2 linked regions of the Cricetulus griseus genome follow. The protein of the gene in region 1 purifies or fractionates together with the protein of each later gene. This does not show direct contact. Links are inferred from orthologs where the notes say so. Each region holds a gene or a part of one and is shown in the gene's direction. Other genes may lie near its edges.

What was found. Proteins that work in one complex are often made in the same cells at the same time.
Region 2: the proteins of Max (region 1) and Mnt purify together in Homo sapiens (affinity purification with mass spectrometry; 7 studies listed by BioGRID and IntAct, with this or other methods). This does not show direct contact. The link is inferred for Cricetulus griseus from reciprocal best matches to the Homo sapiens genes MAX and MNT.

The regions. Positions count from the first base shown.
Region 1 is NC_048598.1:126,569,225-126,572,983, forward strand, and holds part of Max (protein max), read left to right. Parts: intron 1-2,766; coding exon 2,767-2,874; intron 2,875-3,759. UniProt on the Homo sapiens protein: Transcription regulator. Forms a sequence-specific DNA-binding protein complex with MYC or MAD which recognizes the core sequence 5'-CAC[GA]TG-3'. The MYC:MAX complex is a transcriptional activator, whereas the MAD:MAX complex is a repressor.
Region 2 is NC_048600.1:88,289,086-88,293,332, forward strand, and holds the start of Mnt (max-binding protein MNT), read left to right. Parts: upstream 1-1,276; 5' UTR 1,277-2,091; coding exon 2,092-2,164; intron 2,165-4,247. UniProt on the Homo sapiens protein: Binds DNA as a heterodimer with MAX and represses transcription. Binds to the canonical E box sequence 5'-CACGTG-3' and, with higher affinity, to 5'-CACGCG-3'.

The DNA.
Region 1 (3,759 bases):
GGAGGGAGGGAGGAGAGAAGAGAGAGAGAGAGAGAGAGAGAGAGAGAGAGAGCGCACTAACACTCATCTGAGTTGTTTGTTCCACTACTGTAATTGCTGCACTGCTGTAAAGAGTTCACGGGAGGATCTCTAGCACCTTACGCTGAGAGTCTTCACCTGGTTTTTCTTTCTCAACTCTGAAATCTTGGCCTTTTGGGAATGAGCTTGTCAACAAGAGAACTTGGCTAACAAGGCAATCTTTTAGTCAGCCACTGGCCCAGCATGCAGGGCTGGGGGTACCATCCTCGCATGCAGCTTAGAAATACTTTCCAGAGAGAACTCTCAGCCTTGTGTGAAGGTGTGTCAAGTTTTCCTATGCTCTGTAAGCACTAGAAATGCCACTTCATTCAGAGTTGCCTGGAATTAGGCATGTGAGTTCCGCATGTTTTTCACGTGTGCTTGCAAATGAGGCTTGGGGACAAGGAAAAACAAATAGATCCTTGTGGCTGTCTCTGTTCAGGCATAACAGCTGAGGGATAGACATGCAGGAGGGATTGCTCTAAGATTCCACCGTTCTGCTAGTTAAATTGGGTCTGGAACCACCACAGAAATTCCATCCACTGCTTGGAGAACAACAGTCCCCAGCCCAGGCTTTCTACCAGGCAGTGGCCTGCTGCCTTTCCTAGCTGAGCCAACTTCTAACTTGGCTGACTCCCCAGATGAGAAGCCGAGATTTCTGCTCGTGGTCTATGGCCAAGTTCACTACAGTCCTCCAACCAAAAGACTGTTGTCCGTCTGAGTCCTTTCAGTGCTCAGCAGATGGGAGGGGTGGTACATCTTGGGGATGACAGCGGTGTTAGGTTCAACTTAGCTCCTTGCTTACAGCACAGGCCCTCAGAAAACCAAGTCCATCTTAGTTCTAACTGCCTGAGATTTTCAGGGTTCTCCCAGAAAGAAAACAGACAATTAGGATTTTTATTTGTATCAGCAAGAGGCATTGTGGGTAGCTGGTATCACTGCTTCTGTGCACAGCTCTTAAGCTGGGAGGAGGGCCAGGAGTCAGGGTGATTTAGTAGACAGAGTATCTTAGGCTGCTGCTGAAGACCAAAGCTGAGCAATTGGTTTGCATGTAAATAGACCATCTTGAAAATTACAGAGTAAACACCAGAGGCCTAGTGCATGCCAAATGTTGTCCTAGATCTCTTCTGTCCTCGAGTATTGTGACAGGCGGGTTTACCTGGGCATTGACATGTAGTTCCTTCAAGCTAACTTAATTTACACTGCTCTGAGAGGGCAGCTGTGGTTATCTTGCTTGCCCTAGTATTTTATAATACAGTGATAACACCTCTACCCTCAAGTTACCTGGTTTTCCAAGCTTAATTGTCCTTTCGGATTCCTCATTCTATTTTCTATATGACTAGTTAAGAAAATCCTTTGCTTTACAGTGAACTGAGGTTTAAGACAGGATAATTTAGGAATCCTCCCAGCTTGTGCCCCATCTTCAAGATGGTGACTGTGATGGGAACGTGTGCCCATTTAACAGAACTGTAGGTGAGGCTTCTGAGAAATCAGAAGGGAAACAGTCTACAGGGTCTCCAGGCTCTTCCCCTGGGGGGAGTCAGAGACTTTTAGGTTTTAGAATTTGATAGTAGAAGAATTTTTAATCCTTTTCTTCTCATTGCTCTTGTCTGATTTCTGTCTGCCCATCTTTTCTAGTACAAGGATTCAGTGGAAATGGCATTGTCAAACCAAGTTTATGCTTGTTGTTGCATTTCCAAAATTCCTGGTACTCTGTCTGGGCTTACTAGCCAGGTCACTTTCTAATGTGCAGACAGGCTCTTTAGGCTAGCTCAGCACAGCCTGCTCTAGTCTGGGGAAATGCTCAAGAGTATTTCTGTAATTCCTGAAGTAGAGGTGTGGTGAAGTTCTTGCTCAAGTAGTCCTTGTGTTCTGTGTAGAGGGAGATGAAGCTCCTTGGCAGTGCTCCCCAGCATGGTGCTCTGCTGCCTTCCCCTTCCTGATTGTTTGGCAGTCCTGAGCCTCACCAGCAGACTGTTTATAATTCCAAGCAGGAAAGGTTAAAGGCTGCTTAGGGTATTTAGAAAAGTGCCAAATGGGCCAGACCTGCTGCATGTGCATGAGGAAATTTACCAAGAGCATGTATGTGTCAGAAGGTCTGCTACCCAAAAAGTGCCTCTCTGGCTCAGCCTTGTGAGAGGAAACCCAAGTGCAGTTGGCACATCTGTCAGCTATGTCATAATAACCTCAAATGCAACTGGGCTTTCCAGAGGTTTGGAGCTCTCTTGTATGACCTGATGAGAGGGTATGTTGGTGACCTGTAGCAGAGCCTTGGATGGTAGGTTTCAAGTGGACAGAAGTACACCCCCGCCCCCCAGTCTCATGGTAGAGTAACCATATCTTAGGAAGGAGCCCACTGGAGCTTTCTTTAGTTACATTGCAACCACAGACTGGCAACTGCTCCATCACGTAGGTTGGGGACACTTGCAGGAGAGTCACACTTTGTCTCCTTGAATAACTTCGGTTTTACTTGTGCATGAGCTGGATCCACCGTGCTACTTTGGATGTTCCTGTTGCAAGCCTTACTCACCCCTTTCTCCCTCTTTAACAGAGCCTAATTCTGGAGACTCCTAACTGTCCATCTCACTCTGCAAATTTTCTCAGTCCACTTGCCAGGGACAGCGCTGACTGCACACACTTCCAGGCTTTACCACATCCACCTGGACAAGGAGTGGCATTCCTAACATGCTCTGTCTTCATTTCTCCTAGGCTGACAAACGGGCTCATCATAATGCACTGGAACGAAAACGCAGGGACCACATCAAAGACAGCTTTCACAGTTTGCGGGACTCGGTCCCGTCACTCCAAGGAGAAAAGGTGAGTTTATTGACAAATCAGTTGGCCCACCAGTAGCTTGGAACAGGACAGCCCTCCCTTCTGTGAAGAAAGGCAATCAGGTGGCACGGTCTCCTGTTTTTATTATTTATTTCATTTTATGTTTTTGATTCTCTGGAAGATTCTCACATATCTCAGTTGTTCTTGATTATCTTTAGCAAAAACAACATCATTTGTAATAGAGGTGTTTGTGAGACATCCCTAAAAAGTGGCCTTGCAAAATTGGAGATACGTGTCATTAATTACTTGTTTCTTTGGTGGTGCTGGGGATTGAACCCAGGACCTTGTCATGCTAGGCAGATAAATTAGTCATTCATGACATTATCATAACTATATACCTATGTACTGTAGTGTATAACTTGGTCCATAATTAGTTTGTGATCACTAAAGATTTCCGGGCCAGTGATCCCCTAAACCTCTGTGGGAATCGGTCTTGTTCAGTTCAGCATTAGTACTTAGTGTAAATGAACACTTGCAGGCAGGGCTGTGAACCTGCCTGGGCACCAGTGATTTCCAACCCTGACAGCCACTCTTCCCAAGATGTGTAAAAAGCATTGTAACCCATGGAACAAGAGTTAAGAGACTTGTTCATATGAAAGAGAAGTAAAAGGAAACCATTCCCATTCTCCCTAGAGGCCTTTAGAAACTGCTCTTTTCCCTGGAGAGGCAGGAGCCAGCTGTTTCTGTCTTCAAAAAACAAAAGCTTTGAGCAAAAGCCTATGGGTTAGGTCACTCCTTGGAAGATAGAGAAAAAATTTGTTTGCACAATTAGTTCCACCCTTGACGCTGTGTAACAGGCTTCTTTCTTCAGCCCTTCCATAGAATAAATGGTAAACTGGGGAGGATACTTGTATTATTTTTGAGGGT
Region 2 (4,247 bases), on another chromosome or scaffold:
GGATGTTGTGGCAGCCTTTGAAGTAGGTACTTAAGGGCAGTGTGGATGGGTTGGGTTGTCTAAGTGGCCTGCCTCTAAGGTCTCAAAGGTTTGCTTTCGGGGTTGTGCGATGGAGCCCAAGATCCTGAAAGCACTGGTATGTCTCCACTCCCCCTGCACTGGTTAACCAAAGAATTTGAGGCGGCGTTAACAGGTCTGTGCCTAGCACTGGAACAATAGAATTGGGCTGGCTCCACGGTGCTCATAATAGTCCAGTGCTTTTCTATGTTAATGGAGATGGTGTGGCTTCCTCCAAAGAAGCCAAACAGTAAGGTTGGCTTTTCGGTATAGGACATTTCTGCTGTCCTAATCAATAGTATGTAAGTGCTCAGACCTCTCTCTGCACAGTAGTTTGATACTCCTTCACTTTTTGCGGGGCGTGGAGTGCGGGATGAGGTGGTGGTGAGAGAAGTCTGGCCTCAGACCTGACTTCGAAGACTTAGCTGCTCACGGAACAAGAAGCAGTTGGAACCGTCCCTTTTCTTGGGCCTCAGTTTTCTTATCTGCAAAGTGCAAGGATTTGGGCAAGCTGACTTCGAAGATCTTTCTGATGATACCCAGGGACGGTCCTAAGTCCTGGAGCCAGGATAAAGGCTAGCTGGCGAGCCTAGGAGAGAGCGCGGTTCTAGACCAAAGCAGCGACCCCGCCCCGCGCCCAGCGGGCAGCCCGGGTAACGCGCAGCTTCCGCCCTCCACGTTGTTGTTCCTGGTTTAGGCTACGCCTCCTTGGCCTGGGCTGTGGACGTTTTGCCTTTTGACCACTGCTGTCCCGGCACCACAACGAAGTGTGTCCTTTGGAATGGCACATTTTCAGTCTCCGCCCATAGCGGACACGAGTGGACAAAGAATTTAGGGAAAGAGAAGGAATACTTGGTTTTGAATGGGAGGGTGATGTAAGGCAGGGGATGGGCCTGAGCAGGACTGCGGAATTCCCCTGTCGGTGTCTCACCCTACCTTCACCCGGTGGCCCTACTCGCACCCGCTGAAACGACCCTGCAGACACTGGCCCTTTAAACAGAAGGCTGGCTGTGCGGGGTGTCCATGTGGAGCTGCTCCATGCCGTGTTGTCCTGCTCGCCCATTGGCGGACGGCCTGGTGATGTAGTCTAATAGGATGCGAACGCACTGCGGGGGGAGGAACGGAGGCAAAATCCGGAACAGGATCAGCGGTCCCGTCCCTCTGTCAGTACTGAAGCTGCTTGCTGCTGTCGGCTCCGCCCAGGGGCGGATCCCAGGGGAATTGCGACAGACAGGACGGCTGCGGGATTTAGGTCGTGTCTTCGTGGGGCGTGGAGATCTAAGGGTCAGGTCGTAGGTTTCCTTGACTTGTACTACCGCTGTCTCAGCTAACCGAAGCCTCGGATTTCCCGTCCTTTCTCCCAGCAAGACACATCTCGCTGTGGATGCCCCAAACACGCAACCCCCCATTCAACTTGTGGCTGCCCGCGGAGCAGGGAGGGGCAAGGCGGGAAAGCGGAAGCAGCACGGAAGCCCGGTTCCATCTTCTCTTCCCCCACCCAAGCCACGTGTGCGCGCGCGGTAGGCGGGGCTATCCATGGCGCGACCCCGCCCTCAGTGAGACGCCGCGGCCCTACGGGCGGGGGCTCCGGTCCGGGCTTTGGCTGCGGCCCCGGTGTAGTAGCGGGGGCGGCGGCCGGGGGCAGCGCGGCTCCTTCCCTTGTTGTGTGTGTCGGTGCCTCCTCGCCATCTTGTTGCAAAGCCCTTTCTTGTCGGCGGGACTCCCGGGGCTGCGGGGCGGGAGGCATCGGAAGGGAGGAAGAGGAAGAAGGAAGGAAGAAGGCAGTACCGCCTTTTTTTTATTTTTTGCATCAAAATTGTTTCAATTTGCAAATTCCTATTTTGCAAATATTTTGGGAGACATTGATTTTTCTTCCCGTGCTCCCCCGTTCTTTCCTGAGGAGTGCGCTGCGCCGCCCAGCCCTGTCGCCCCCCGGAGGTGATCCCTCCCTCCTGCCGGCCCGCCAGCCTGACCTGTGCTTGGCTCGCGGGCCGCAGCCTCAGCCCCGGCGCGCCCCCGGCTGCTCTCGGCGCGATGAGCATAGAGACGCTACTGGAGGCGGCCCGCTTCCTGGAATGGCAAGCGCAGCAACAACAGAGAGCACGTGGTGAGCGGCTCGGCTGGGCCCCTGGGGCATTGGGCAAAAGGGGAGGCCAGTGACCCCGATCCCCAAACCCACTGGAAATAGCAGGCAGGCCCCTCTACGGCGCGACCTAAAAAGCCGGGCAGAGCACGGGCTCCCCGCAAGATCTGCCGTCTCGGAGGAGTAATGCTAGCAGTGAAAATAATGAATTCATTAACATGCAAAGAGGGACCCAGCTTCTGCGGGTGCCACCCTAGCTGCTGGCAGCCCCGGCACACCTTCAGTGGGGGGCTCCTTAGGTGTGGGCGGGCGGCTCTCGGTACCATTGAGGATGTGTGAACCGGAGGATGGGGACAGGGATGTTGATGTGTGGGGGTGGCAGACCCGCGTGTGCGTGCGTGTGTGCACCAAGATGTGTGATGGGAGCCGGGGGAGAGCGGATGAACGGACGTGTACACGGGTGTTTGTACAGCACACGAGGGGGCGTGTGCGTAACTGGGTGGGGGTGGGGAATACTCTACGCGGAGCAGTTCTCTGGATTCCCTGTCCCTGGCAGGAGGGTGCGGGGAGCGCTCCCGGCAGATCTACGCGCTGCTTGGGGCGGAGGCGGCCTTTGCAGAATGAAATGACATCGCGTGTCTTATGATCTTGGCCAGCCCCGCCTGACCCCGCCTCCCAGAGCTGGGCTGGGTCGCATGTCTAGGTTTGGCTGAAAACTGCGCTGATTGGGTGCATGTGAGTGTCCCGCGGGTCGCTGGGGGCAGCCCCTGGGCCCCCCTGCTTTGCCCTGCTTTAGCCGGTGTGGAATGTGGCGTGTCTGCGCGTTTCAAACCCGCTCTTGGCTGGAATGTTGCGTGTGCCTGCGTCCCAAGCCCGTTGGTTACACCGAGTGGTGACGTAGACAGGTCCCGCCCCCGACCACGTGCACGGGGGACACTCCCGCTGGGGACTGCGCGGCCCGGCCCCTCCTCGCTGCCTCGCGCTTGCCCGGGGGCGGGGCCTGGGCGGGGCTGGCGGGGGGCCTTGAGTCGGGTTGGGCTCCGGCTCTGGTTGCTGGCCATCTCCTAGGGAGAGCCTTTGCCCTGGGTAGGAGGAGCTACGTTCACCTTGGCTCTTGCCGGGTCCTCCTGTTTTTGATTCTGTAGTGAGGGAAACCCTCAGAATCTCAGGGTGACATCTACAGCTAACATCTCCTCACTGACCCACTAACGGCGTACCTAGACCCTTCTGGCAACACCCCGGCCACATTGGAATAAGTCAGCGTGAAAGGGCAAACTTTGGCACGCCCTCAGAGAGGATAGGCGAGGGTTTTATGATCCTAACCCCCACCTCTTTTGGCGGTGGTCTCTAGTCTTCCTGTACTGCTGAAATAGAGAGTGAAGGAAAAGATCTCAGCTTTCCGGACGCTTGCAAGGGCCTGAAGTGATATGTGTGCGGTTCTCAGGGATTCCTGTCCGTCCGTGCCCCCCCCCCCTTCAGGCGGTAACGTTGTGGTGGAGAGAGTTTTTCGCCCTCCTTTCCTTTCTTTCTGCCTATTGTTGCTTCAATGATGAGTCATGCAGGAGGTAGTAGTGTGTGTTGTGTGTGCTCGCGCGCAAAGGCGCGCGCACGCCTGCAGCTGGTTCCGCGGTAGGGCGGGAGTAGTGGTAGCCGGCAAGGGGCGGAGGAGCTGCAGGTCCGAGGGCCTAGTCAGGCCGCCCAGCCTCTCAAGGTCAGGAGTCACTGGAGGCGTGTAAGACCCCAGTGCTTAGCTTTTGCAGAACAGATGGTCTGGGGTATCCACCCTCATGCCCCTCCTCTTTGTGTTTTGGGCCCAGAAGCAGGGTCAAGCAATGGACAGAGTTGGTGGTTAACCAGAATGACAAGTGTGTGGTTTCAGCGGCGGATGTGGGGAGGGGGAGAACTAAAGAGTTTGGAGAGAACGAGTCACCCGCTGCTACCATCAACACAGTGCAGTTCAAGAGTACCAATTATATCCCCATAGAGTCCCAGGCAGTCTGCTAGAGGTGAACAGGATTGACCCTACTGTTGCCTCTAGGGAACTCTTATTTCACATTAAACTTTCTAGGTGTATACAGAGAAAAGGGGAGAAGACCTCTACTGCCTG